Linked DNA regions of Neodiprion lecontei. The main gene of each other region encodes a partner of the protein of the gene in region 2 in a complex. Links are inferred from orthologs where the notes say so. Each region holds a gene or a part of one and is shown on either strand. Other genes may lie near its edges.

Region 1 (8,733 bases), on a different chromosome or scaffold from region 2:
TTGAATCGTAAGCGATATTTCCTGTAATTCTCTCATATGCTAGACAGTACCCTTTTTGATAAGTCAGAATCGAATATTGAATATAGGTAAATATGAACTTACGGCTTCTCTTTTTTCGTAAACAGCTCTTATATGCTGGTGCACATTAGGATATCGTGGTGGCAGTTCATACCTGGTGTAGCCACGCCCCATGGTAACATATCTGGTCCCATCAGTGGATACTTTCAGCCGATCTCTGAGAAAGGTTGAAAAGTATTGATGACAGCAAAACTTTAGTGTAAAAAATAAAGAGCGCAACAAACCTTACCTAGTCCACAAATTATTTGTATGTAAAAAAGGTTCTGCATTTTCATATGGATTATAATAAGCTGGATCATTGGGAACTGGATATAAACAATCATCCTCCTCATAGTACACAGGATCAGAAACAGGATCACTAACAGCCCTGTGCACCAATGCAGCCAAATTCTTACCACGACCCATATTACAGGTACTGCAACGCAGTTATTAAAATCAAAATTTTAGTTTTGTTACACAGTTTTACTAACAGATTTGGCTATGTGAGATAAATTTTTCGAGTCAACAGTATTGAGGGATAAATTGTTCATTTCGATGAAAAGTTATCCATAACTATACCTATGCTCTACCCATTGAGAGTAATATACACAAGTTATAAATCATTTGTAGAAGTTTTTAACTGTCTTTCGATTAGATTATGTATCCTTAGATAACTCACGGCGGTGCAGCATGTCGTGGAATCTGTTCAGGACTGAGGTACTCCCTCGGCTGGTTCTCTGGATTGCACGTAAAAGGTACTGGTTTGGATTCTATTGTCCGGCGAGGGCCCATATTTCGATCGAGTCGTTCCTCACGTTTCTTTGCAAATGTTACGCGAAGTTCCAAAGGTTTGACGCCATGGACCTCTCTGATGGCCTTTTCTGCCTCACGGAAACTCGTATAGCTCACAAACGCCCAGCCAGCATTCGGAGGGGATATAACACTGGACGGTGTGCCGTAATTCGCGAAAAGATGGGATACACCATCCTAAACAATTGGTTATTACGTAACGCTATGACAATTTCACTCGTTTCGGCAATTCGTATTTACGTGTTAGTCAAAATGGGGTATTAATCCAAAAATTGTAAACGAATGGATACTTTGTCATGAAGAATGTAACATGCAGTTGAATGGAGTTGTGAAAAGAACATTGCACATGTTGAACTTTGCATACCTGGTCTAGCTCTGCTGGGATATTCGACACGTAGAGTTTATACTCCGTTTCCGGTCCTCCCCTGTAATTATAAGATGACATGACATGCGAATTGCTGCAGTATTAAGCCGGGATCACGACATGGATGTAATATTGCAAGTGGTTTAAATTTCAAACCTAGCATAAGGCGTCAGATTCATTCCAGGTCCGTGCTCGTACGAATTGACGTTGGCGTCGCGGTAATGAGCAGCCATCGGATCCCAATTGTCTAAATTATTAGCCCGTGCCATTGCGTCTTGACGGTCAACCGTCCTCGAAATCTGAAAGGACGCTAGCAATCTTATCGCTCAGTTAGTTACGTTAATCGGGTAGGTATATACTGTTGACCACGCACTTTCTTTGCTTGTCACGTCACAATTACGCAGGCTTCCGAATAAGCACGTGGTATCGCTATTCACTTCTATTTACACGGTGTTTTCTTTTATTCTGCACTCTTTTAGCTGGACCGTTAAAAGTATGAAAACGAGTCGAATAGGGCAGAGGATTCAAGAAATAGCGGCACGTGGTACGCTCGGAGAAGTGCGTCTAATATGCTAAGTGCAAAAAGCCGACCGCATGCATGAAATTCTCTCTGCGCATGTGCACCATTTTGAATTTACAAGCTTTATTGTGTCGGACAAGTTACATCCAAGTAGAACTAATCGAAATATGCGCTTACCTTCTAGCTCAACTTGAATCGTAATTTCGGTTTCGTCTACGCTGATTATAAATGTCTTCGAATTTATTTACTTGGTATATTTTGAATCTTAATGTGCACGAGAAAATGGAACGAAACTTTCTTGGATCGTTGACTAGAGTTTCGGTATTCTAGAAACGCAAATCCGCACACTGCAGTCTACGCCTCGACTGTTAGGTTTTCACGGGCAGGAAAATGCTGCCGCCAGCCGCAGTATTTTGTTGCCTAGTTCTTGACCAATAGGAATGCCAAGAAAATAGATAATTCGTCTTTCGCGTGCACAGGTAGCGCTAGAGTCCGTAAGACCGTGGTAGGGACTCTCGGTAACGCTCGCCTGCTTTATTGACATTTCTATTGGTCAAAAATTCGGCAGCAAAATACTGCGGTGGCAAATCTGTGCCAGTGAAATTCCAGCCACTGGCCTCCTGACTTCTCGTTGATGACAGCACCGTACAGTAAATTCATTTATGCCTTCCTTTTCCGACTACCTTGTTTCGGTCCAATACCAAATGCGTCACCTAGGTATATAGACTGGATAGTTGACGCTTGGATCTGTACGTTACTGAAGTCTGACTGAGGTATAGAGATCAGTGTGTATATTCGACGCCGTAAACATGGCGGATGCTGCGGCTCGGCAGCTTCAATACGAATATAAAGCGGTAATTATTACTATTTCATTACAAGAAATGTGCTAAAGTACGACTGTAATACAAAGAAAAAATTTTGTGCAACACTTATTGTTCCAGCGTCTAAGTTACGATTAAAATTTGAGAACTCTGCTTTCGTACGAAAAACGTTCCGTCGTATAGGTTATATTTCTAGTTGTATTAATTGGTTGCCAAAACATAACTTACTTGTTGTACGTGTTTTGGAAAAACACTTTGGTGATTTAAGACTTTTTGTTCCAGAACTCCAATCTTGTCTTACAAGCTGACGTACGGCTTATAGAAAGACGTAGCAGAGATGAGGCGACTGGAGAAGTTATGTCCCTTGTGGGCAAATTGGATGGAACCAGGATGGGCGATAGACATCAAAGGACGAAACCAGGCAAAGCAGAAGAGCGTAAAGTGAAGTGAGTGAAGATGTAAATTTGCATAGCACTATTCTCACATTCAGTAGCAAAGCAAATTACTAAAATGCATTAGGTATTAAAATGAAAAATTTAAATTGAATCATTAACGACTGTAATACGGTACAACTTTTCTCAGACGTCAAAAACGTGATGAAGCGCAATATGACTTCACTCGTATGAAGGGTGCCACTCTCTTGTCAGAGGGTGTTGATGAAATGGTAGGAATTGTATACAGACCCAAAACACAAGAGACTCGTCAGACGTACGAAGTGTTACTGAGTTTCATTCAGGAAGCATTGGGCGATCAACCACGTGATATTCTCTGTGGTGCTGCTGACGAAGTATTAGCTGTGTTGAAAAATGATAGATTAAAAGAAAAGGAGAAGAAAAAAGAAACAGAGTTGCTGCTTGGTGGTTTAGCAGAAGAGAGATTCGCCCTCTTGGTTAATCTGGGGAAAAAAATCACGGATTTTGGCAGTGATGAAAAGACTACAACAAATGAAGAGAACATTGATGAGACATATGGTATAAATGTTCAGTTCGAAGAAAGCAGCGAAGAGGATGATGAAGATGTGTACGGAGAGGTTAGGGAAAATGACGATGAAGGGGATGAAGGAGAAGAAGCAAACATTGATCGTGCAATTCACGCGGAAAACGTATGTATCTAGTCAGTTTAGTTGAAATATTCATCAAGTCTGAAGTTTTTTAGTCATATAAACTTTTAACAATTCTATGTAATTGCATTTTTATTCAACTCTTTTCTATTCATATGTACAATTTTAATATCAGATATTACAGTATAGTATCTTAATTTTTTACATTCAGTAACTGTTTCTTTACCCTTCAAACAGCTTGGTGGTGCGGAGGAAATGAAGAAGGAAAAACCACTTCATCCGTTAGATATCGATGCTTATTGGCTTCAGCGGAGATTGAGCAGAATATACGATGATGCAATGGTATCCCAAGCAAGAGCTGCTGAGGTATTAGCAGTGTTACGAGATGCGGGTGATGATCGAGATTGTGAAAATCAGCTGGTTCTCCTGTTAGGATATGATTGCTTTGATTTTATCAAACAGCTTAAAAAATATAGACACATGAGTGAGTATCAAGCAACACTCACCTTTATAATTACAGAGCTAATATTTATGAATCATTAAATAGTTGAAACAGAAAGATTACAATTTGAACATTCATTAAAATTTATCTAGTTTTTTGGAAGTTTAAATATTCTGACTATTCTTACAGTTGCCTATTGCACGATGTTGGCATCGTCTCAATCCGAATCGGAGAGACAAAAGATAAGAAATAAAATGAATGATGATTTGTCTCTGGCAAAGATCTTGCGTCAGCTAGACACGGGAAAGGGTGATGATGATGCTGAAGAAACAATGGAAGCACGTGCACAACGCAAGCGGCTGGAGGAGAACGAGGATGGAGCTGGTGGTCCTGGTGGTCAAGTTCAAGGATCGAGAAATCTGATTGATTTAGAGGATTTGATATTTGCTCAGGGAAGTCACTTTATGGCCAACAAACGTTGTCAGCTACCAGATGGAAGTTTCAGAAAACAAAGAAAAGGGTAATATATTTTTTATTTTAATGATGAACAAATTTTTGGTAGAAAATCGCTACTATTTGAAACTGAACAAGCTAACACTTCAAATCTCTCATCTCAGGTACGAAGAGGTCCATGTCCCAGCACTGAAACCAAAGCCATTCGGGGAGAATGAGAAACTGCACCAAGTTGATCAGCTTCCGAAATACGTACAGCCGGCGTTCGAGGGTTTCAAAACGTTGAACAGAATTCAGAGTCGGCTTCAAAATTCGGCGTTGGAAAGCGATGAGAATCTGTTGTTATGTGCGCCAACTGGAGCAGGTAAGACAAACGTCGCCCTGCTCTGTATGATGCGAGAAATCGGAAAACACATAAACGCCGACGGAACGATAAACGCTGACGAATTTAAGATAATATACGTTGCGCCAATGCGGTCGCTTGTACAAGAAATGGTAGGAAACTTTGGAAAGCGTTTGGCAAGTTACAATTTGATCGTGTCTGAACTCACGGGTGACCATCAGCTGACAAGAGAACAAATCGCGGCAACACAAGTAATAGTTTGCACACCTGAGAAATGGGATATAATAACTCGTAAAGGAGGCGAAAAAACTTTCACGTCTCTTGTCAGATTGGTGATTATCGACGAGATTCATTTACTCCACGATGAGCGAGGCCCAGTTCTCGAAGCGCTGGTTGCCAGAACCATAAGAAACATTGAAACAACCCAGGAAGATGTGCGGCTAGTCGGTTTATCGGCTACCCTTCCAAACTACCGAGATGTAGCTGCGTTTTTGCGGATAAAACCAGAAACCGGATTGTTTTACTTTGACAACAGCTACAGGCCAGTTGCTCTGGAGCAGCAGTATATTGGTGTGACTGAGAAAAAGGCACTGAAGAGATTCCAGGTGATGAACGAGATTGTGTACGAAAAAACGATGGAACATGCAGGAAGAAATCAAGTCCTAGTATTTGTTCACTCCAGAAAAGAAACTGGGAAAACTGCCAGGGCCATCAGAGACATGTGTCTTGAGAAAGACACGCTTGGTCAGTTCTTGCGTGAAGGATCTGCGTCGATGGAAGTACTCAGGACTGAAGCTGAGCAGGTTAAGAATCAGGAACTGAAAGACTTGCTTCCGTATGGTTTCGCTATTCACCACGCCGGAATGACCAGGGTCGATCGTACCTTGGTCGAGGATTTGTTCGCCGATCGACACATTCAAGTTTTAGTATCTACCGCAACTTTGGCATGGGGAGTCAACTTGCCAGCTCACACAGTAATTATCAAAGGCACGCAGGTTTACAACCCAGAGAAAGGTCGCTGGGTGGAATTGGGCGCGCTTGATGTCCTGCAGATGTTGGGGCGAGCTGGTCGTCCACAATATGATACTAAAGGTGAGGGAATACTGATAACGAACCATAGCGAGCTCCAATATTATCTCTCGCTTTTGAATCAGCAACTCCCTATTGAATCTCAGCTTATAAGCAAGATGTCAGACATGCTGAACGCGGAGATTGTGCTTGGAACAATTCAAAATATACGAGATGCTGTTACATGGCTCGGATACACTTATCTCTACATCAGGATGTTGCGGTGCCCACAACTCTACGCCATACCTCATGATAAACTTAAGGAAGACCCGTTGCTAGAGCTACACAGAGCGGATTTAATACATTCAGCTGCTCTGGGATTAGACAGAAGTGGATTGATTAAGTATGATAGAAAATCTGGACATTTTCAGGCGACCGAATTAGGTAGAATCGCGTCCCACTATTATTGTACGCACGATACCATGTCCACTTACAATCAACTCCTCAAGCGTACTTTGAGCGAGATTGAACTGTTCAGAGTGTTCTCATTATCAAGCGAATTCAAGAATATCAACGTCAGGGAAGAAGAAAAATTAGAGTTACAGAAACTGATGGAAAGAGTACCCATACCTATAAAGGAGAGTATTGAAGAGCCGAGCGCCAAGGTCAACGTTCTTCTTCAGGCTTACATATCTCAATTGAAGCTTGAGGGTTTCGCACTAATGTCTGACATGGTATACGTTACGCAGTCAGCATCCAGACTGATGAGAGCTATTTTTGAGATTGTCTTGTTCCGAGGCTGGGCTCAGCTAGCGGACAAATGTCTATCCCTCTGTAAAATGATCGATCGAAGGATGTGGCAGTCAATGTCGCCGCTTAGACAGTTCAGAAAAATGCCCGAGGAAATAGTGAAGAAGATTGAGAAGAAAAACTTCCCGTGGGAGAGGCTTTACGACCTTGGACCAAACGAAATCGGGGAACTGATCCGTGTTCCTAAACTTGGTAAAACAATTCACAAATATATTCACCAGTTTCCTAAACTGGAACTGTCAACCCACATACAGCCCATCACTAGATCCACCCTACGCGTTGAGTTGACGATAACACCGGACTTTCAATGGGATGAAAAGATCCATGGTGCCTCAGAGGCCTTCTGGATTCTTGTGGAAGACGTTGATTCGGAAGTCATACTTCACCACGAGTACTTCCTTCTCAAAGCCAAATACGCCAGCGACGAGCACCTGATCAAGTTCTTTGTTCCGGTATTCGAGCCTCTTCCTCCTCAATATTTCCTTCGGGTCGTATCGGACAGATGGATCGGTGCGGAAACTCAATTGCCGGTCAGCTTCCGTCACCTTATTCTACCGGAGAAAAATCTACCGCCTACCGAGCTCTTGGACTTACAACCGCTGCCGATAACCGCGTTGAGGAATTCCAAGTTCGAAACTGTCTACACCGACAAATTTCCCCAGTTCAATCCCATCCAGACGCAAGTATTCAACGCGGTCTACAATTCCGACGACAACGTCTTCATCGGCGCACCTACTGGCTCTGGCAAAACTACAATCGCCGAATTCGCCGTGCTGCGTTTGCTGACTCAGAATCCCGAGGGAAGGTGCGTTTACATGGTGAGCAAAGAGGCACTAGCGGAGCTTGTGTACAGCGATTGGGTAGCTAAGTTCAATCAACAGCTCGGAAGGAAGGTGGTTTTATTGACGGGAGAAACTGGCACGGACTTGAAACTCCTCGCAAAAGGTCAGGTGATAATAACGACTGCTGACAAGTGGGACGTCCTGTCAAGAAGGTGGAAGCAGAGGAAGAACGTTCAGAACATCCAGCTGTTTATCGTCGACGAGCTCCAGCTCATCGGTGGCGAAGAGGGGCCGGTTCTTGAGGTGGCCTGTTCGAGGGCGAGGTACATATCTTCACAGCTTGAAAAACCTACAAGGATAGTAGCTCTTTCAGCCTCTTTGGCCGACGCCAAAGACGCCTCGCAGTGGCTGGGCGCCCCGGCGGCCGCAACGTTCAACTTCCATCCATCGGTGAGACCGATACCCCTGGAACTCCATGTCCAAGGATTGAACATCACACACAACGCCTCCCGCCTTGCGGCGATGGCGAAGCCAGTTTACAACGCGATCCTGAGACACGCACCCCACAAACCTGCGATCGTTTTTGTACCAACGAGGAGACAGGCCAGAATGACCGCAATTGATCTGCTCACGTTCACCGCAGCGGAGGGACAACCGTCGAGGTTCTTCCACGCGGAGGAAGCGGACATAAAACCGTTTTTGGATAGAATGAGCGATAAGACACTGAAGGAGACCCTGTCGCAGGGTGTTGCTTATCTACACGAAGGACTCTCGATCGATGACCGACATTTGGTCGAGCAGCTCTTCGACAGCGGAGCGATCCAGGTCGCTGTCGCGACACGGGACCTCTGCTGGGGACTGTCGATAAATTCTCATCTCGTTATAATCATGGACACCCAGAGTTACAACGGCAAGACTCATGCCTACGAGGACTATCCGATCACCGATGTTCTGCAAATGGTCGCCCGCGCCAACAGACCGCTCGAAGACCACGACGCCAAATGCGTCCTCCTCTGCCAGAGTTCAAAGAAGGATTTCTTCAAAAAATTCTTGAACGAGCCACTTCCCGTCGAGAGTCATCTCGATCACAGGCTCCACGATCATTTCAACGCCGAGATAGTGACCAAAACTATAGAAAACAAGCAGGACGCAGTCGATTACTTGACGTGGACATTCCTTTACAGAAGACTCACGCAAAACCCGAATTATTACGGTCTTCAAGGCGTCACGCACAGGCATTTGTCCGACCATTTGTCCGAGCTC
Region 2 (12,108 bases):
TTACTGGTATCATGTGTCAGTACTCTCAAGATTTGCGGCATCAATTGTGGTAAATAAATTTTGAATTCAGCACCCAGAGCAACAGCGATGTGCTCCACAAGAAGAATAAGCGTACTCTGTAACGGACTATTCACAGTCCACACTTCTTTAATCAAAGCGAAAATGTCATCCAAATAATTCCGAATGTGTTGTTTAACAATCGCAATAAGAACAGCCAACTGTTGAAACAAGTATTCTCGAAATCCAATATCAGCAGTGCGAACAACGTTCAAAAAGCTAGGCATAACTTGAGAAATATATGGTACGCATTTTATACCAAGGCTTTTAAAAATGAATGTTACTGCTTGCACAACCATGGTATGATGCTGAGATAAGGTGGGTTCCCGAATGATGCGCATGAGAGTAGCGATCGCAATAGCTGGATAATATTCCTCCAGAGTTGAAGTCGACATATTTACAAGCATCTCGCTAGTCGACTGATCTTGACTTGTTTCGGCATCACTTTTACACCTAATATCAGCCATGGACATTAGTGAATCAAACTGTGAATCTATTTGACCAAGGTTCATTTTGTGCTTGTAGGGATCCAAGGCACCTAGGAGTCCGAGTACTCTGATTGTTTCTCTCCTGGTAACTGGTGATTGCTCAGTTTTTAGAAAATTAATAAGAACATCGAGTAAAAAAGGATATTGTGTGTATGGCTTGACTACATGTCCTGTACTTCCAACCAGCTGGCCAAGAACCCACAAGGCGACACCTCTTTTGTCTGGAGAACTGGCATCGACCAACATTTCCAGTAGTATTGACAATAATTCCGGCATCCATTGTTGCATTTCTGCACCATTAACACTTGCTAAATCACCAATCGCTTTAAGTACAGCCAAGACAACACCAGGGTTAGGCTCAGGTTCTTTCATCTTCGGAATGAGAACTTTCAAAATAGGTTCCATGTAAGGTCGAATGAGTCGTGGAGCACTAATTACTAAATAATCGAGCATCCGCGAAGCCTGTTCTTTGTTACGTCCCATACCAGAATGTTCAAGCTCTGTTAGAAATTGGATCAGCGTTTTCCGAAGTGAAGGCATAACGTAGGCTGGATTCATAGTACTCAATCTCCCAATTGTGTAGATGGCGAGTTCTCTGATTTCAAAAATTTCATCATTCATCGCAATAAATAAGGCTGACAAACTTTCTGCTTGAGCAAGATGAATGTCAAAACTTTTATCAAGCGACGCGAGGACACATAATCGCACATCTGGATCAGTGTCTGTGATGCCGACGACTAGTAATTTTCCTAGCACTGTAGAAACTGTATTGGTAACCGTTGGCCCTGGTTGATTCAATGCTAGCCTCAAAAGCCTGGAACATGTTTTCACAGCTTCCAAACGGACCTGAGACTGTTCAGATGTCAAGAAATGGTCAGCGCATCTCCGAACAAACTGGAGTAAAGGATTTCCATCAAAATTAAACGTACCAAGTGTTTTCAGCGCAAGCACCGTCGAAGGAAGGTCAGCTTCTGCAGTTGGAGCTGAAATTGGACTTGTAGCTGACCACGGAGCACCGGGATGTCGCAGTGGTTTGTGCATCAGTACTTGTGACAGCATTCTCAATAATCCTTGAGAAACATCTGGCTTCAAAGATGGTATACTATGAGCTAATTCGCGCAATGATGTTGTAAGAATTGGACTCAGACCAGTGGCAAGCATTGGCTCTAAGAGAACCTTTATATCTGGCCCTATAGTTTGCTTAACAGCATGCCCTAGCAAAGTAATGCAGATAAATACAGCCGGTTCAAGTGTGGTACCTCGTTTCTTACTCGGCGTTTCTTTTGAAGGTAAAGAAGCTTTAATCACTTCCATAATTTCCGGAAGATAAGGTTCTATGCCAGTCTCAACTGCAACAGCAATTAATCCAATAGTTGTAAATGCTGCATGTCTATCTTTTTCGCGGCTTCTTAAAGTGATCAAAAGATACGATATACTTTGTGCCAAGTGATGCTTGTCAAATTTTTCTTTATTGAAAGCAACCAGCCGTGGTAATAGCGTCATCAGCGCGTGTTGTATATGAGGATTTCTTGATAGTTTTTGGTTCATAACATCTGCGTAAATATTATCCAAGCCCTCCTGTAATAGACTGCGACAAGCGGCAGATTCATGAACCGGATGAATTGTCTGCAGAGTATTGGATCGACTTGGAACTGGGCCTGTCCAATTTGGTACAATCGGAGTTTTGAGACGAGGAATGAGAGACAGAATATCATCATCCATCTGTTGAGTAGAGCAATTAAGTCTCTCCATCAACGCCTCATAGTTTCTTTCCCACTGAGCGTTACTGCATCTCAATAACTCGTTCAAAACTAATAAAGATCCGTGAATAGCGGCATCCTTGTTGGACCCTCGCCCCTTAACATCAGCATCATTGAAGCATTGTACAACTTCGTGAAAGCATTCTTTGTACCATTGCGGTTTATGCATTTGCTTTGTAGTTTCTCTTTGAGCGGTGACAACCAGAGCAGCTCTGAGAGCTTCGGTAGCAGCTTCTCGTATCAGCGGTTTGGGATCACGTATCGCGTTGAATATGAGATCAAAAAACGGAGATACTTGTTGAAAAAAATACGTCGGCATCGAGACGGCTAATTCTCTCAGTACAAGGACAGCTGCATGTCGTTTCCCCTCATGCCTGTCTCCGCCAAGCCACTCAAAAGCACGTTTCACTTCAAACTCGACATACTCTGCTGTGTAGGTGCCAGAGACAAGTGCGAGTTTCCCAACAGTTTTTGCAGCCAATTCCATAACTCCAACATCGTTCGACGGCAATAGATTTCTTAGATAATTTGCAAATCTTATAGTACGAGTGTTTATATTACCACCATCAGCACCGATTAGACAAACTATGGCTAGTATACCTCCCTTCTTCTCATTCATGTCAGAACCAGAGACCATTTCTTTTATGTGGTGATTGAATTCGTCCATAAAATTTGTCATCTCCTCCTGGGAGACTTCACGTAGCTCTGTTCTGACGTAAAGAGATAAATCATGTGCCGCCTTAATCCTAACATCTTCGTGCCGCGATTTAAGTCGCTGAACGAAATCCAGCACTTGCGAATGCGTCATGTTTTAAAATATATATTAGTTTTCACTTTTTGACAAAAACGTTCAATTACGAGATGTGACACTTGTTTTTTAAATCTTTACATCGGGATACTACATTGCCCGATGTCCACCTGAAACAGTTAAAAAACTGGTCAGTATGTATAGGTTAGGTTCGAATCACAGTTGCCGTGATGATACGCGTAGTGTGAAACGTAAAGAATTTACGAGATAATAAATGAGAATAACGTTAGATGTAACGTTGCGACGACACCTAAATTTTCTACTCACGTTATTCAATCATCTATTTGGTTAACACGTATTTTTAATTCGCGGCGCAATCACGCTATCAGCCACAAGCGCCATTTTTAGTAAATATAAAGTGATATAAAGTAAATACGTAAGGCAGCTCCCATTATTCATGGTGGCTCTATAATAGATTTAGTGAACTTATTCGCTAAGCTAGAATCTGATATGTGGCCCAGCTTCTATTGGTGAATTTTAACTTGTGCATAGACAAGATTTTGAGATTTGATGCTGTCAAATTTCAGCTCAATTTTCAATTTTTGCTGCATTTTATGTATGATATTTAAATCAAGAAGGTACGTAAACAATTCGTACTTAATGTCGTTTAATATTACCATCCTAAACATAATATATGTATAATACATTTACAGTAATCTATATTTATAAATACGGTATTATTTTCAATTTTGACACTCGGTTTTAGATAGGAATCGGTAAGTCTTTAGAAACTACGGTCAATATTTGGTCAGTATTTAAACACCAATTTACAATGTTTTTAGATACTCTGCACCAATTTTCACCATGATGCGGTTCTGCGGCTACACATCGCTTTTTGACTTCCTCTTGCTGTTCCTCAGTGCCATTTAAAAGCTCAAATTTATAAAAATACGCCCAAGCATCCCCTAAATCAGGATCTATCTTAACGGTGCGATTAAACCAATCTCTGCACTTGGATATTTTATGCTCACACCAAAAAAGCCTGCAACAGATACGATGTATAATTAATAACGACAAACAGCTCCCCAAACTAGGAGAAATTGAATAAACGTGAAATATCTCGCTGAACTTGCGTAATCTGGGTTTCCTACGTACTTGGAGACTGCCAGTAGAACATGGGGATCATGTTCACATTTTTTCAACGCATCAACGCTCTTCGTTTTCCGTTGTGGTCGTGCTTCCATAAAGATTGCTTCAGCCCATAGCAGACCAGACGTAGGACATTCTTGCAGAGCTTTAGCCATCAACGTATTAGCCATGTCTCGCACCCCTCCACCTTTCAATTCATTTCGAATAGCTTCTAGCCAAAGCTCCGCATTTTTCGGATTACGAAGCCGTGCTTTTTCAAGTACAGAACGAGCCTTTGTCACTTGACCTTTACGCTGTTCAAGTTGAGCTAACAAACACCACAATGGCACAGAAGTGGGGCATTTTTTGATCTGCAAAACAACCAGGTAAATTCTCACATACTTCAATCGATTTTATATAAGAAATGATCTGTTTCAAAATTACACATTTCGAACTCTTCAAACTATCACGCTGGAAGAATAACAAAAACGATTTACTCACAGCTTGATTATATGTTTCCAGAGCTTTGTCAAGATTCCCTTGTTGCTCTTCTATTTGAGCCTTCATTAACCAAAGCTTGGGAAAATCCTCAAAAGTTTCTATAGCTTCCTGGAGGAGATGCAGTGCAGCTTCTAGATTATTAAGAGCCCATTCAAGCTTGGCACTTTTCATCATAACTCTAGGAGTTGGCGCTGATGCTCTAGCTTTTGCCAACAATCTTCTGGCACGTTCATATTCGGAGTTCTCTGACTCAAGCTTGACTGCAGCTAACCAAATCTCTTCAGAATTTGGATTGGCTTGGAAAGCCAATGACAAAATACCTCTTGCCGCTGGCACGTCACCCTTGATATAGAAATAATCATATATATTTCAACAGTTACACGTTATTGATACTGAATACGTGTAACAAACTTAATTGAAGTAAGAGGATGAAGTATAACACCGATTACTTACAGCAAGCCATTTAGACTTGGCACCCATGAGCCACAGAACTTCGCTCTTAGGACAATGAGCCACAGCCCGTTGGAGTAGCGCTTCCAAGGACTCCCGTGTTCCGTAACTCTTTTCAAAATATGCTGCACGCAGCCAGATCGATTTTTTGCTGGGAAAAGTTGCTAAAGCATAAGCATACACTGCTCTAGCACATTCCAAAGCACCTTGTTGTGCACACTGCAAATAATTGCATTTATATTGTTCAAATTGACTGTACTTGTATAGATTTATTAAAAATAGTTCCGAAGCAAAGTTATTTAGTAGCTTTTCAGTAAAATTTGTTAAAACTAAAAAACCACTGCCACAATTTATTTCAACTGTGTGAAAATCGATTACTCAGAACCAAATATGTCACCTGATCCAAAGGATTTTTCATATTTAATGGTAGATAATAAACTGTACTTACTGTTTCTGCATCTTCCATCCAAGTGTGTTTCCTATCTTCTTCCTCAACTCCAAACCCGATGATGGACTTGACAATGACTTGACAACAATGGACAGCACCAGCTTTTTCAGCTTCCATAGCTTCTTTGAACCAGTGTTCTCTGTTAATTTCAACTCCGTTAACGTTCAAGGAACTAATTGCTCTGTCAATGATCTTTTCTACCATATGCTTATTGCCATTAGCTTCTTCTAGTTTAGCAGCAGTCGTCCAAATCTGTCTATCCGTTGGAATATTTTCTCTAGCTTTATTAAGAACTTTTCTCGCGTTATCGTAAGTTTCCAATCGGGCCAAGGCGAGCCACAAATCGACACTTGTTGGACAACACTCAACTGCTCGACTCAATAAAATTCTTGCATCTTCTGGTTCTTCCAACTCAACAGCTACTTTCCACAACCGTACTGAGTTCGGAATATGCTCTAAGGCTTTTCGATAAACACGTCTCTTTGCCTTAACTTCCGTTTCCAAGTCAGCTGCTTTGATCCAGATTCTAACAGATGTTGGAATGTGACGTACAGACTGGGCAATTACGGCCTTTGCCGTCTCCGGAGGTTGAAGCCTCGCCGCTTCTAACCACAAGTCTTCAGAAGTTGGATTCACCTCACAGCCCTTCATGATAAGATTTCTTGCTGCTTGAACCTTACCCGTAACTTCCTCTAAGCGGGCAGATGCTATCCAAGCCGGGGGATGATTAGGATTTGTTTCACGAACGGATTTCAAAAGCAATCTGGCCTTTTTTATATCACTGAAAAAAATTTCAATATTGTATTGTAAATTAAATGGATAAACTGGTGAAAAAATTTTTTATGAGACTTACTTGATGTCGCCACCGTAAGTAGGAATCATACTTTGTAGATCCGTTAAGTAACCTTTGGGATCAACAACTGTTTGACCCTCAACAGAATCTGATACTTGATTCAGTTTCACATTCATAAGCGTGTTTCTAGCTTGTCCAATTTTTCGCAAATCCAAGTCACCGGTTGGGGTCAACATACCAGGTGTGGCTAGGCCAGGCATCATGGAAGCCAGTCCATTAGATGGGTCTATACTAGTAGAAGTGTCTCCGCCCAAGTTTCTTGCTAAAACAGAATCTGGCAAAGGCGTAAACTTTTCAGCTCGTGGATTCCGCTGTTTTCTATTACGCGCATCGCCAACTTCGGGAACATTTTTCCATTCATCCTCAGACACATTAACCAGTTCACGCTTCAGATCTGAAAACTGTTGCTGGATTTTAGGCCGTTCTTGGCGATAACGTTCAAGTTCTTCTCTTAGGCGCTTTTCACGATATTCTTTCCGCTTTTCATCCATGCGTTTATCAATCGCTTCATAAATTGCATCTGCTTCTTCATCATCTTTGTCATAAGGATCCTGGATAGAAAAGAAATCACCTGAGGTTCAAAGTAATAAAGTTATTCTATTGTGCCCAGATTAGGAAAATAACTGGCAAAAGGGTCTATATTTCAAGTGTAGATTAGCATATAAAGAAAAATGCAATTTACTTAGGGTAATATGAACTTATGCTGCAAATTGAAATACAAATATGAATTAAATCTATTCGCAGTAATACTGAATTGCTAATACTATAGGAGGTAAACTTGAATCTTCAGCGCTTTGCTCGTCAGACAATACCGTACCTTGCTAAACAGCGACCCTCCATACCCGGAGAATTCGTCATAATTGGAATCGTTGAGATCTTCTTCATCCTCTTCTTCTTCTTCCTTTTTCTTAGCTCTTTTGGTAGGTGGAGCGTGTCGATCGTCACTGTAAAATTTTTACAAATTACAATAATGAGTTGAAGTTAAAACATGATGTCAATCAGCAGAAATTAATTAGCAATTAAAGTGAGAAATCTTACGAAACATCGTTGGCATCGCGAGCTGGACCGATATCAGAACGAGTCGTGAAACCTGTCGCACTGTAAACACAAATAAAAAGCGAGGTTAAAAACGTCGCTAAATCGTAGACGTCAATTTCTCCTCGCCGGTAAGGTAATATTTATGAATTAAAAAATGTATTAATCGAAATTACCCTCTTCCGACACCAGCGACATAGCCCAAGGGTGCTGGAACCCCTAGAAAATGCTTTTTATTTCGCGTTGAAAGCGAAGCTGATGGCACCGCCATGTTTATTACATTCTACACTATCGCTGCGTGACGACACGACGCCAAGCGGTAAACACTGAAATAATGGATTACTTTTGAATCTTCAGCTTTACCCGACACAGGCTGGTTTTGCCAATTCCATCACGAGATACAGCAAATCCCTCGGAAAAATTCGGTGCTATACTTACAATTTTTATTCCCAACAATTAACTTTCAATTTTTATTAACAATTGTTGAAACTATACTGTGTATTTTTCTTGGCCTTAATTAAGGGATTCACAGGTACCATCGCTAATTCACGCCATATTAAAAGTAAATTGTATTCTTACATTCTGATACATATATCAAATTTTTACATGTATGAAATTCAGTATTAACATACAGAGGTCTCGCGATCAATTTTATTTAAATACGGCTGTTGTCGATAGCTTCTTAGCGAATTTGCTCTCAATTATCATTATCCGTACGTAAAATTAATATTGTTAATTAGATTTTGGCACGCATGATAATTGGCCACGAGGTTTTTTGTTTAGGAGTCTCGATTCCCCTTGGTAAAATAATCTGATATATCCCTGGTACTGAGAACTATTCAGACGTGTCATTTTTCAGTTAAATTTCCTAGAACCGATGTTAGAAATCACAGAGCAGTACTTCAGGCTTGAAATGTGACGTAAACCGACAGATCTAGAACACTTCAGCCAGCTTACTGTCGAGACCACTTTCTTCTTTATGTTTTGTATACAGGATGGCAAATGTGTCGGTCTATTTATAATTTAAAACTAGGTGTAAGTTAAATCAAAAATCAAATTGACGGAAGAGTATTTCATGTCCCGCATCGTTCGAGCGGTATGGAAATATTCAATTCCATGAGTGATTAGTTTAAGACAATCCAGGCTACGGGTACATCTACTGTAAAGCGCAATATTTCAATCGAATCAACGCCATGTGAATTAAGTAAAGCTCGCTCAACATTCGGCCTATTTTCAGGATTGTCGGAACGACCGTATTGTACGAAACTTACAGATTTGCAAATATCAAACAGTTTAGCATTATTGCAATTATTTTAACATCGCATCTGATTGTGAGCGACTGAATAAATAATAGTTCGATCGGCAGCCACATAATATAGTGACCGATTGAAGCCTCTTTCCCATCTTATTATTGCCTGCCTTTACATTGAATTCGACTCTTATTGCAATCTGTTTCAATCAAACATATTTAAACATCATTGAACCGGTCAACTTGTTTTGGCTTACACGGGTATAGTTGTGGTAATATGCTCATATACTTATTGTTAGATACGCCTAACAATAGCTGTATACATCGTGCATGGGCGACCGGCTTATTAAGCCGAGAGTATATACATAGAATGTAGAATAAGTTTATTTAAAGCCGGCCACAGACAGTTTGGTGTGTAACAGTGTAACGCCTTCGCGATGACCGGTAGCAGGCAATTAGTCAATTGGTACGCGGACACGAATTAGTGAACTAAATTATCGAATCGATCAATCAACTCGTTCTTCGCTTTAGCAACCATCTATAAAACCGTACTATCGTTGCGGCGTTATCACAAAACTGTTACGCGCATGTCGTACATGTTTCCACACATACCTACACTTACACGCGTTATGTCACGCACTGCATGAAACCCCTATAATTTTCCGCATATGCAATTGCCTGTACCGTTCAAATGTGACGGTAATTCGTACGAATGTAGGTATGTATAAATTAACCCGGAACCGCGGTGCGGACAGACATATACGTGCGTCTTTGGGTCTTGTTAAGACGTCTCGTTCGCATTTGATATAAATGTTAGAAGAAACATTAATCAGACAACCGGCGCGGCGCGAAAAGCCTTTACAGCCGATCTCAACCGCATAACTACAAGTTGAACGTAATCGGTAATTTACAACCAGACAAAACGGCTACGATTCCACCCATCATCCACCACCTGTGCAGAGGATACGTCTAACTTTTCCTCACAGTATCCCTCGTCGCCAATTTCAAGTACCGCTACCGATATTCAAGCATATCTAAACTTAGACCATCCAGCTGCGGTCTCAGATTGTGTTCAGTATTCATGAATTCGGTGTGACGAACGTTGCTCGCAGATTTGTACCTTAATTCCCGAAAGATATTTTGGATTCGAAAATTCACGGGTTTGTACAAATAGTAACGGCATTGAATTTGTAATATATATTTGTTTGTTGAATAACTAGTCGCATTCTTTGAGAAAAATTACAGCGTTTCATTATCGAATAAAATATGGCATACAGTTGGGATAATCGAGTCAGCTTCATAGTAAAGTTCCTTTACGGTTAGTACAATTTTTACATTACACGAGAAACAATAATCGTAGCCGTACATTTCCGTACTACGGAATTGAGGAAGAGTATTAACATGTCGTATTTAACAAGATTTATTCCGCAATCAGACATAGATAACAACGGGGTGCTGGATCAGCATGATTTCGAGTGTATGGCTCTAAAAATGACCCTTGTCGAGGGTAAAGGTGATTTCAACTATAATCACTATCAAGAAAATCTTCACGTCATGCTTTCGCTGTGGGAAGAAATCGCTGAACTTGCGGATTTCAATAAGGTAGAATTTGTAAGTCATCGACATGAATTTTAAGCACGTTGCTGTCTTTCTGTCGTTCTGTAATTGGTAACGTAAGTTGTAACTATCATATACGTATAATGGTAACATAAAATTTTTATATCCATGTGTCACCTGTAGTAAGTTTTTGATAACTATACCTGTTCGTAATTCTTACGATACGGAGAACAATATAAATTTGCAAGAAATTTTATTCCAATCTGTAAAATCATGATCACTCGATTGCTCTCAAACTGTAGTAATAACTTTGAAAATTAACGAACCACTGTCTCGAGCGATAAAATTCAGAAATCTATTTTCCAAAATAAATTCGGTAATTCTTGTATGTATTTCACAAATATTCATCACTTTAACTCTGTCAATTCACGTAAATCTAACTTAATATTAATCGATTACGTGTGAAAATATTCAATTGTCGTTTGTCTGGTGAAACTAGAGCCCTTTCCACCAGCATGAAATCCGGTTGATAAGAAAAATTTTGTATACACACGAGTGGTAACAGATTTCTAATTCAGAGGGGAGATAGCAAAATTTTCACGACTATGGTCGTTACGATGACTCCGGTTAAAACTATACAGTTTCGTTCGGAATCCATATTTCTTATGATTTCTATAAATTATCCAATTTAATAATTTACCAGTGATATTCCCTCATATGTACACGTAGCCCAAGTGTGAATTTCTATGAATGTTCTTAGCATATGGATGTTCTTACTATATTTGTCAATAGTCATGAATTTTGTTTGATGGACAAAAATGGTAATTTTGTTGGAATATTTATACCTGTACAAATACAAGTAAGGGGTTTTAAATTGCATATTTATCTACCGGTGAATTTATACACAGACATAAGTATATAATTGAAAACAATATGACATAATTGAAAAATCGAATATGTTTAGAAGTTATTTATTTTTTCCATCGATGTTTTCTTGGCACAATGCCGTTTACACACGAGCCTAGTGAATCCTGATCCATCAGGTCAAATTTAGAAAGCCATTTATCCTGAAAGCAGACAGTAGTCAATATAAATGCAGTGAGAATGTGTTACTGTTTTAATTTTTAATTTCATCAGGATGGAGTAGTAACGACAGAAGAATTCAAAGTCGCGGTCCAAAGAAGCTGCATGGGAAGACCTTATCGTGATTTCCCTCAAGCGATGAAAATGTTCATAGACAGTCATTTCAAGCTGGTCGATTTAAACGGTAAGAGTAGGGCAATATGCAAAAATGAGGGTTTCACCTCCCGATGTATTGAATAATTTATTATATCTCAGGTTTGGGAGTGAAAACATTTTTACCGGTTCGTTCACAGTACGAGCTGACTCACGAATATATTATAAACTGCAGTAACTAAAAATAAGTGAGATAGTAGGCTTCGTAGGAAACTACTAGCAATAGATTCGACACCCGAGAACTGCGCGTCACGCCTTCTTGATGTATTTTATTTTTCACTTATTACATCGATTCTGTACACGTACAAGTCTAAAAATGAGAATGAATGTTCTTCTTCTTCTTTCAGACGACGGAGTTATCGCTGCCGACGAATTTCGTTATAATTGTGTTATGAGAATTCCAGTTGACAACATCGACGCTCTTGACGATGCTTATCAAAGTCTACTTAACGTATGGAATTTTTTATTCATATTTTATCGAAAATATAATTGATTTGAATAAGTAATCTCAGAGCAAGTTTATTCTCAATAAGTCGTGCAGTAATAACCGCAATGCAAACCCAAATTTGAACTTGAAAATATCTCATTATTCACCCAG
Region 3 (7,229 bases), on a different chromosome or scaffold from region 2:
ATCCAATCATGTTTGTTACATAGAATATAAGTGAAAGTAAATATTTTATAATCGATCTTCATCCATTGAACAAAGAACGCATAGTTCATATTTCACAAAGGCTTGTTAAAAAATTTTTTGCATATTTGATATACTAAATTGCAGTTATCAAATCGTCGCACTGTCATGGCATTAATATTTTTTCACAGAATCAATGAAGGTCTCATGTCATTATTATCTATAATAAAAGCAATTAGTTAGGCTTCCAATTAAGCTATGAATAGCTTCGCAATGTAGGGTGCATATGTAATCGGTAATCGTTATATGTACGTCTATGCGATATTGTATAATCTATTTTTATAATGTCTCGTGCAATACCTAGGGTCCCTTTAAATAGTTGTGATGTTTATCAATCCTTAAACGCTGCCTTCTTATTGTATGTATATCGGTGCTAGTGAGCTGTGCAATTTTATGGATATCTACAGATATATTAATATTGTACTCAACATAAATCAGTAGACCTTTATATTAAAAAATGACTCACAGCAAATTTACACAATTTATGATAACAATAATAACAACTTGAGTAACTAAAGTCGGATTGTTATTTTTTTTAAAATATATTTATTAATTTTATGATAACTTAATTTACTATATATAAATATACAATATCTTCCTCTGTGCATCAGTAATAATAAAGTAATTGTCAGTTAGTAAGTTCCGTGCTTAAAAACCAAATATCAAAATAATACCTAAATCTTTAGTCATACGTCTGTCGCTTCTCTCTTTCCAGGACCAGTCGGATTCGTACCAGTTATTTTATTCTTTGGCAGTTTGCCTGGCCTCAAATAAGGATTGTCTATCACATCTTGTTGGGCTAATGCCTCTCCACTTTGCTCTGTCCCATCTGCTTGTGCTTGGGCTGAAAATTGAAACATCATCAGTACAAGATTCACCATTTTTCTGACTCATTGTCTCTATAGATTATGAACAAACCTTCTTCTTTGTCTTCTACAGGCGGTGCCTTCTTCTTTTTTTGAACCGGACTCGGTTCAAACTGGAACTCTTGATCAGGCTCAAAAACTTGATCCTGTGGTAGAAGTGCTGACAAATAGCTGGGAAATTGTGGCTTGCATGCTATCACTTGAGAGAAGTTGAGAAAATCCATTAATAAATAAAACAATAATTTTAGAATATAAGATATTACTTTTGAAAATTTCCAAACTCAATTAATTCTACCACTTACAGGGAAACATGGTGTTGTCTTCGGTCAAGAACAGACTATGCGTGTCCCCTGTTTTGGCAATAAATCTTGTCAAGGCTCGTTCAATGTCCCGTTTTTGCGATGCAGCCTTTTCCCTGATAGCTTCATATTCCGTCACAGGTTGTTTATGTGTCTGAACACCATTTGTCGATAGTTACACTAATGTGCTACCAAAATGATGAGTAGTTGATGGAAGTTATGACTCACCGGCGTCCTGATGTAGGCGTGAGGATCAGGAAATGGTGGCAGATGATTAGGTATGTGCGACGGATGATTTTGCTTTACTCCAGCTTGTAAAATATTGAGCTGTTTGGCCTGTATCTGTTGTTGAAGTTGGGGCAGAACAGTCCTGTTTAGACGTTTACCATACGTCTCCATCCCTTCTAATTTGATTCCCATGTTAATTAGGGCCAGAATAACATCGGCTATCAGAGGCTCGGTCCGCCCAGACAGCTCGCAGTAATTTTTCGCCGAATCTCCGACCTCGACGATAACTACAATGTTCATAATTACGGGTAAGCATTCTTTTTTAGTTTATAGGGTAAACTCGTTTAACAGCGTTCAAGAAGTCTTAAATTCACTTACAAGCCTGCAACATTTCGGTGAGGGTTTCCAGCGCCTGTCTTTCACACGTTTCGAAACCATTTTCGACCAAAATACTGCAAACTACATGATTTAACACTTTTCTTCTCGTGTTTACTGTTTGGGTCTCCATTTTTAATACAACTGGCTATTACTGTTTGGTCTTGTTTCCATCGAAGGGTTGGAGTCGGGTTAGGTTCAAATTATGAGCCAATGAGAAACGAGGTTTCAGGAGAAATTACTTTCTTCCTCTCAAATCTCGTTTCTCGTTTGGCTGTAATTTTAACCTAACCTGACTCTGACCTTACCACAAATGGTATTACATGCTTCGTGGACCTTACGATGGAAGCATCCTATAGTGTAAGAAAATAAAGCGTGTTCCACCGGTGGACGCTATTTCGTCCCGTTCTGCGCCGACCATAGAAGCCTTCTTGAAATTATATGACGTATCTTATAAGTACAGTGGAGATTCCTACTTGTTAAATTGTACGCTATATAGATGGTATTGAATGGGATCAATTGAAAATCCAAGATGGCCTTCATACGGTTGGTTCTTAATACGACTTGTTCGTGGAGATGGCTGCGCAGTAACACACCTTAGATGTTCAAATTTGTAAAAGCGTCTCACGTCGCTTTACGTTGTTCGTAATCTCATCGTTGGACAGTGTGAGCATCAAACTGCCCCGATTTTTCAATTAAAATTCAACACATCTATTAAAAATGAGCAAAGCACATCCCCCAGAATTGAAAAAGTAAGTGATAAACTTGCGTGTCAAACCGACGCCGAATAACCGCAGTTCTTTGCCAAGAATTTTTAGGTTACGTTGCTAAATTTAAGGTTAGACTTCACCTACCGGTACATTTATTGCCCATATATACTAATTTTTCATTATATTTTTCAGATACATGGACAAAAAGTTATCCCGTAAGTTCAGAGGATTAAATTAGTATCAAATAATATTGACTTGGTTTGGGATATTCATTTATTTTTTCAACGTTCATTGAACCTAGCTTTGGAAGGTTATAAATATTTGATATTGCCAAATATCATGTTGCGCACGAAACCCTCTTCTAGAAAATTGAGAGGAATGGTATTTGATGTATTTTATTAACGATACTTTCAATTGGCAGTAAAACTGAATGGCGGGAGACACGTGATTGGCATCCTGCGAGGATTTGATCCGTTCATGAACATGGTCATTGACGAAACAGTCGAAGAATGCAAAGACGGAACGAAGAATAACATTGGAATGGTGGTAAGAATTTAAAAAATCTAAAGCAATTGCTTGAGGAAAGATGCAAATCATTTTTTATATCCGCACGAAGTATTGACGACAATATCATTTTTGTTATTTCAGGTCATTCGAGGAAACAGTGTCATAATGCTAGAGGCGTTGGATAGAATATAATTATTAAAAAGAATCGGATGGAAGAATGTATTTAAGAGAAAAAGAAAGAATAAAAACATTTTGTATTTGTAACGCCGTATTTAACATTTAATTTTTCACTTATTTTACAGTGTACACATAGTTGTAAATGATTGAATGATAAGTTAGGAGTGACAATAATTTTGGAGAAAAATCATGAAGACTAAAAGAATTCAAACGTTTATGTTCAAATACAAGTATAAAATAAAACAAAAAAAACAGGATTCCAAGCAGCACAATTTTCTCACATTTCTTAGCTCGGAACAACGAGAAAGTGAACATTCAATACAGCTAAGCTGATTATTAAATATATTGTGCACAAAATATAATCTGGAAAAAAATGGTGCAATGGCATATAATTAATTATGGTAGGCATTTCGCTGTTACATGTATAACTGGATTTTATAAAAATACGAAAATATCGTACAAGGGGTTAGTTTGCCAATTTGAGATTCGTACTGCACAGTACAGAGACATACTGGATTAAATCAATTATTCTTATAATGAGTTATTCAGGTGAAGTGAATAAAAAAAAAATTATACAAATTCTATTTTAAAAATGTCAAAATACATTTGCTATGTTCATAAAATCAATCTTTTTACTGATGTTTTTATTAGACTGAATAATTCCGATTTAATGAAACCGTTTTGGAACTAAAATTTTAATAATACTATCTGCGATGAGCTGAGGATTTTTGCTGTCGTAAGTGCTCATCAGTCTTCGAAGCAGGAACAAAGGTCTGACTTACAAGAATAATAATAGGTATAATCATAAAAATAAATGCGTGCATACTTTATACATTGTATATAAAATAAAGAAGCAAATATAGCTTCCTTTGTCAGAAATACCATAAAATCTTACCCTCACATAGTTTTTAATTAAAATTTGACAATAGTGTGCAGAATACTCGGTAAATACCTTAATTTTTTTTCCTCTTATCTTAAAATTTTACATTTGCAATTATATGAATTCGTTTGAGGATATCCTTGTTTAAGATAATATAGAATCATTCTACACACACCTTATTACTTTCGTAATGTGCGGTAAGCAGTCAAAAAAAAAAAGAAAGGGGAGTACAAAGAAAAGTTTCAATGCAATGCAGAAAATTATATTAGCTAAAGTAATAACTTAGTGTATAATGGCCTACTTATTAGCAACGAAATATAACGAGAGAACTACAGAAAACATACAAATCAATAATGATTTTTTTTCATAAGAATCCAGTGTACCCCTCATCCTTCTGAATTCAGCAAATGTGGTTATCAAGTGTTCTTTTGTTTGAAAATTGTCGGTTACACTTACGGCACTTAATTAATTCAACACAATTATTGTGCATGTGCAATCTGTACTCGCGATTAGTGTGAAATTTCTTGCCGCATCTAACGCACGTTATGAAATTTTGCGGACTCAGATTCATGTGAATACGGAGTTTTCCATCATTTTTAAATACTTTCAGGCAGATCTCACACTGGAATGGTCTCAGCGGTCCAGTTGTTGAATTTTTCAGGCAAGCTGCAGGAGGGCAAATTATCGTTAGATCATTGCTGTTCAAATTCACTCAACTGCTTTTTTCTATAATCAAACAAAGGTACGATTTTTTGAGTTTTTTTTTAAATTTTCTTTTTAAATTTTCTTCTATACATTTAAACTCTGTATTCTACACAATTCACTCGTTATGATACTTACACGACTGTTTGCAGGAACTTTTGCCACAGCTATTGCCATGTTTATCATAATCAGTCTGGCTGTGAAACAAGCTCTTGCATGCGAGGCATTCCACAGTTTCTTTGGGTTCATTAGCTACATGATCATCAAGCAGTGTGGAGCTATCGAAATTTTCTTTGCAAATGGTACATTGAAAATTAGAGTTCGATCTCCTAGTGCTCCTCCTGACAACGATAGGCTTAGTTTCAGTTTCCTTCAAATTGCATACATTCTGGTTTCCCTCTGCATTGTGCACACCGTTTCCTTTAGACTTCGTATGGGCAGGTTTATTTGCAATCTGTTTTTTCCTCTTGTTTGAATCTGAACCATTACGACTACTCTGAAACTTCGTAGTTTCATTCACAGCTGCTGCCTCCTCTATGAGCTCCTCTTTAATTCTCATCAGGATTCCATTTGCCATTGACTCACAATCTGACACCTCAATTTCGGACGATTCATTTCCATTCACTGCCTGTTCCTGTCCTTGCAGAATTTCATGCAATGCTTCTTTTTCCGTCATCTGATGACACGACACCAAGTGTGCCTGAAGATCTGCCTTTACAAGATGAATATGGCAGTATGGGCAGTCCGTAGAGTTGTGTCGCTTTCGTTGATGCGTTTTAAGGTCAGTGCTCGATCTGTAAGACAGATCACACTCTGTACAGTGGAAGGGTCTTTCACCGGTGTGGGACCGAATGTGAATCTCAAGTGCCGATTTGCATATAGATATCTGTCCACAAATCTCGCATCTGCATTCGCCATCATTGTGCTCATTGAGCATATGTTTTTTCATATCGTATCTATTGCTAAATGGTTTTTCACACGTTTTGCAAGTGAATAACATTTCTCCCGTGTGCCCAGCTACGTGCATTTTGAAATACCAATCTGTGCTGAAACCCTTGAAACAATAAGGACATTTGAAAACCTTTGAATTTTTCTCCTCAGATTTCCTACGAGCTTGAGATTTCCTTCTTGTGTTCGTCGCACTTTTTGCTGTCTGTGAATTCTGCTGCTCTACATTCTCTGTTTCATTATTTTGTGCAACAGACCTTGGCGGGCTAGGAGCTATCGGAGCTGGCTGAATGGCCTGCAGTTTTGAGACAGGTACAGGTTTGGGAAGATTGTCCGGTACCAAGCAAAACGCAGGAATACCGTGAGTTTGATGCCGAAGCGAAGGGGCTGACTTCAGGCTGGTGATAGGGACGACTCTGATGGGGGTCAGGTAAGGTTTGAGAGCTGTATTTTGGCTCGAGGTTACGATATTTGCCTGAGAAGCGAACCAATCATTGAGAGACATCGGCTGAACGATGTTGGATTGCGTGACCGAGGAAACTTTAATGTACTGTTGACCAAGCCTTGCGTGTTGAGGTGGAGTGCAAAACACATTTGTTATCTTGGGTTGCTTCACGGCGGGTCCTTCGTTGGTCTCAGAACCCGGTCTTTTGCCGACGATTGTATTCTGTGGTGGGAAAACAATCGGAATAGAGGGCAAAAGTTTTCCAAAGACTTCTCGGGAGTTAGTACTTTGTACAACGCTCGGCTGGTTGCCCGGGGACAGTGTTTTTATTGTGACAATTGGCTGATGCTGGGGAATGGTTTTTGGGATGATGATCAGCTCCTTGTTATTCCTCAGGGACTCCATAGTCTTTTTGTACTCAGTGGCCGGGTCCAAGTGTTCTTTTTTCTTGGTCTTGGCTGCCTCGATCATCTGCAGTTCTCGCTCCCTCATTTTTTCCCTAAGTATCTGAGCACCGTCTGTTTGATTGTGCCTATAGACCTCCTTCCTGATGCAGCTTTTGTGACTCATCCTAGACCTCCGTGTCTTGAATACAACGCCGCAAATGTCGCAAGCACTCATCAAATCGCAACGGTAGAGTTTAATCAACGCTCGTCGACATCGGTCATGATCTATGCTCAATGCATCGCACAGCGGATTTTTGCAATGCTTTTCAACCGGGGCATTGATCTCGTTCTCCTCTATCCCCACAGCTAGCATTGGTAGAACTCCACCCTGGTCAACGTACTGTAGCACGGAAACGTCGCAAACGATATTTTCGCATGGGCCGTGATGACCACATTGTTTTTGCTCAGGCTTGACGACCATCAGGGCTATTTCAGACTTTCCATCCCCCTTAGCAGGTAGCAGCCTAGATTTATCTTTGCTTTCCGTTTCCACTGTCATTACTGATATTTCAGACCCGATGCCTTTGCTCTGCGCCACCTTGCTCGGCCCATTCTTCTTATCAACCGGTAAATGGACATTGTTGTTGGA

What was found. Proteins that work in one complex are often made in the same cells at the same time.
Region 1: pre-mRNA-processing factor 6 (region 2) and putative U5 small nuclear ribonucleoprotein 200 kDa helicase share a complex: the UniProt entries of both Homo sapiens proteins name them as parts of the U4/U6-U5 tri-snRNP complex. The link is inferred for Neodiprion lecontei from reciprocal best matches to the Homo sapiens genes PRPF6 and SNRNP200.
Region 3: pre-mRNA-processing factor 6 (region 2) and probable small nuclear ribonucleoprotein G share a complex: the UniProt entries of both Homo sapiens proteins name them as parts of the U4/U6-U5 tri-snRNP complex. The link is inferred for Neodiprion lecontei from reciprocal best matches to the Homo sapiens genes PRPF6 and SNRPG.

Annotation. Positions count from the first base shown.
Region 1 is NC_060265.1:26,203,472-26,212,204, forward strand, and holds the start of putative U5 small nuclear ribonucleoprotein 200 kDa helicase, read left to right. Parts: upstream 1-2,310; 5' UTR 2,311-2,560; coding exon 2,561-2,605; intron 2,606-2,854; coding exon 2,855-3,018; intron 3,019-3,154; coding exon 3,155-3,674; intron 3,675-3,869; coding exon 3,870-4,116; intron 4,117-4,263; coding exon 4,264-4,594; intron 4,595-4,691; coding exon 4,692-8,733. Other genes in the region: uncharacterized protein LOC107219073, read right to left, coding at 103-235, 308-493, 737-1,044, 1,232-1,292, 1,388-1,500. UniProt on the Homo sapiens protein: Catalyzes the ATP-dependent unwinding of U4/U6 RNA duplices, an essential step in the assembly of a catalytically active spliceosome. Plays a role in pre-mRNA splicing as a core component of precatalytic, catalytic and postcatalytic spliceosomal complexes.
Region 2 is NC_060260.1:29,831,695-29,843,802, reverse strand, and holds pre-mRNA-processing factor 6, read right to left. Parts: upstream 7,792-12,108; 5' UTR 7,740-7,791; coding exon 7,645-7,739; intron 7,532-7,644; coding exon 7,472-7,531; intron 7,378-7,471; coding exon 7,251-7,377; intron 6,985-7,250; coding exon 6,434-6,984; intron 6,362-6,433; coding exon 5,581-6,361; intron 5,352-5,580; coding exon 5,136-5,351; intron 5,025-5,135; coding exon 4,683-5,024; intron 4,553-4,682; coding exon 4,209-4,552; intron 4,096-4,208; coding exon 3,816-4,095; 3' UTR 3,672-3,815; downstream 1-3,671. Other genes in the region: serine/threonine-protein kinase mTOR, read right to left, coding at 1-3,113; sarcoplasmic calcium-binding protein 1, read left to right, coding at 9,984-10,035, 10,153-10,328, 11,412-11,541, 11,858-11,961. UniProt on the Homo sapiens protein: Involved in pre-mRNA splicing as component of the U4/U6-U5 tri-snRNP complex, one of the building blocks of the spliceosome.
Region 3 is NC_060262.1:2,038,513-2,045,741, reverse strand, and holds probable small nuclear ribonucleoprotein G, read left to right. Parts: upstream 1-2,344; 5' UTR 2,345-2,545; coding exon 2,546-2,577; intron 2,578-2,727; coding exon 2,728-2,750; intron 2,751-2,956; coding exon 2,957-3,081; intron 3,082-3,183; coding exon 3,184-3,234; 3' UTR 3,235-3,306; downstream 3,307-7,229. Other genes in the region: transcription initiation factor TFIID subunit 8, read right to left, coding at 744-901, 976-1,122, 1,226-1,376, 1,451-1,737, 1,829-1,958; zinc finger protein 60, read right to left, coding at 4,500-4,765, 4,940-7,229. UniProt on the Homo sapiens protein: Plays a role in pre-mRNA splicing as a core component of the spliceosomal U1, U2, U4 and U5 small nuclear ribonucleoproteins (snRNPs), the building blocks of the spliceosome.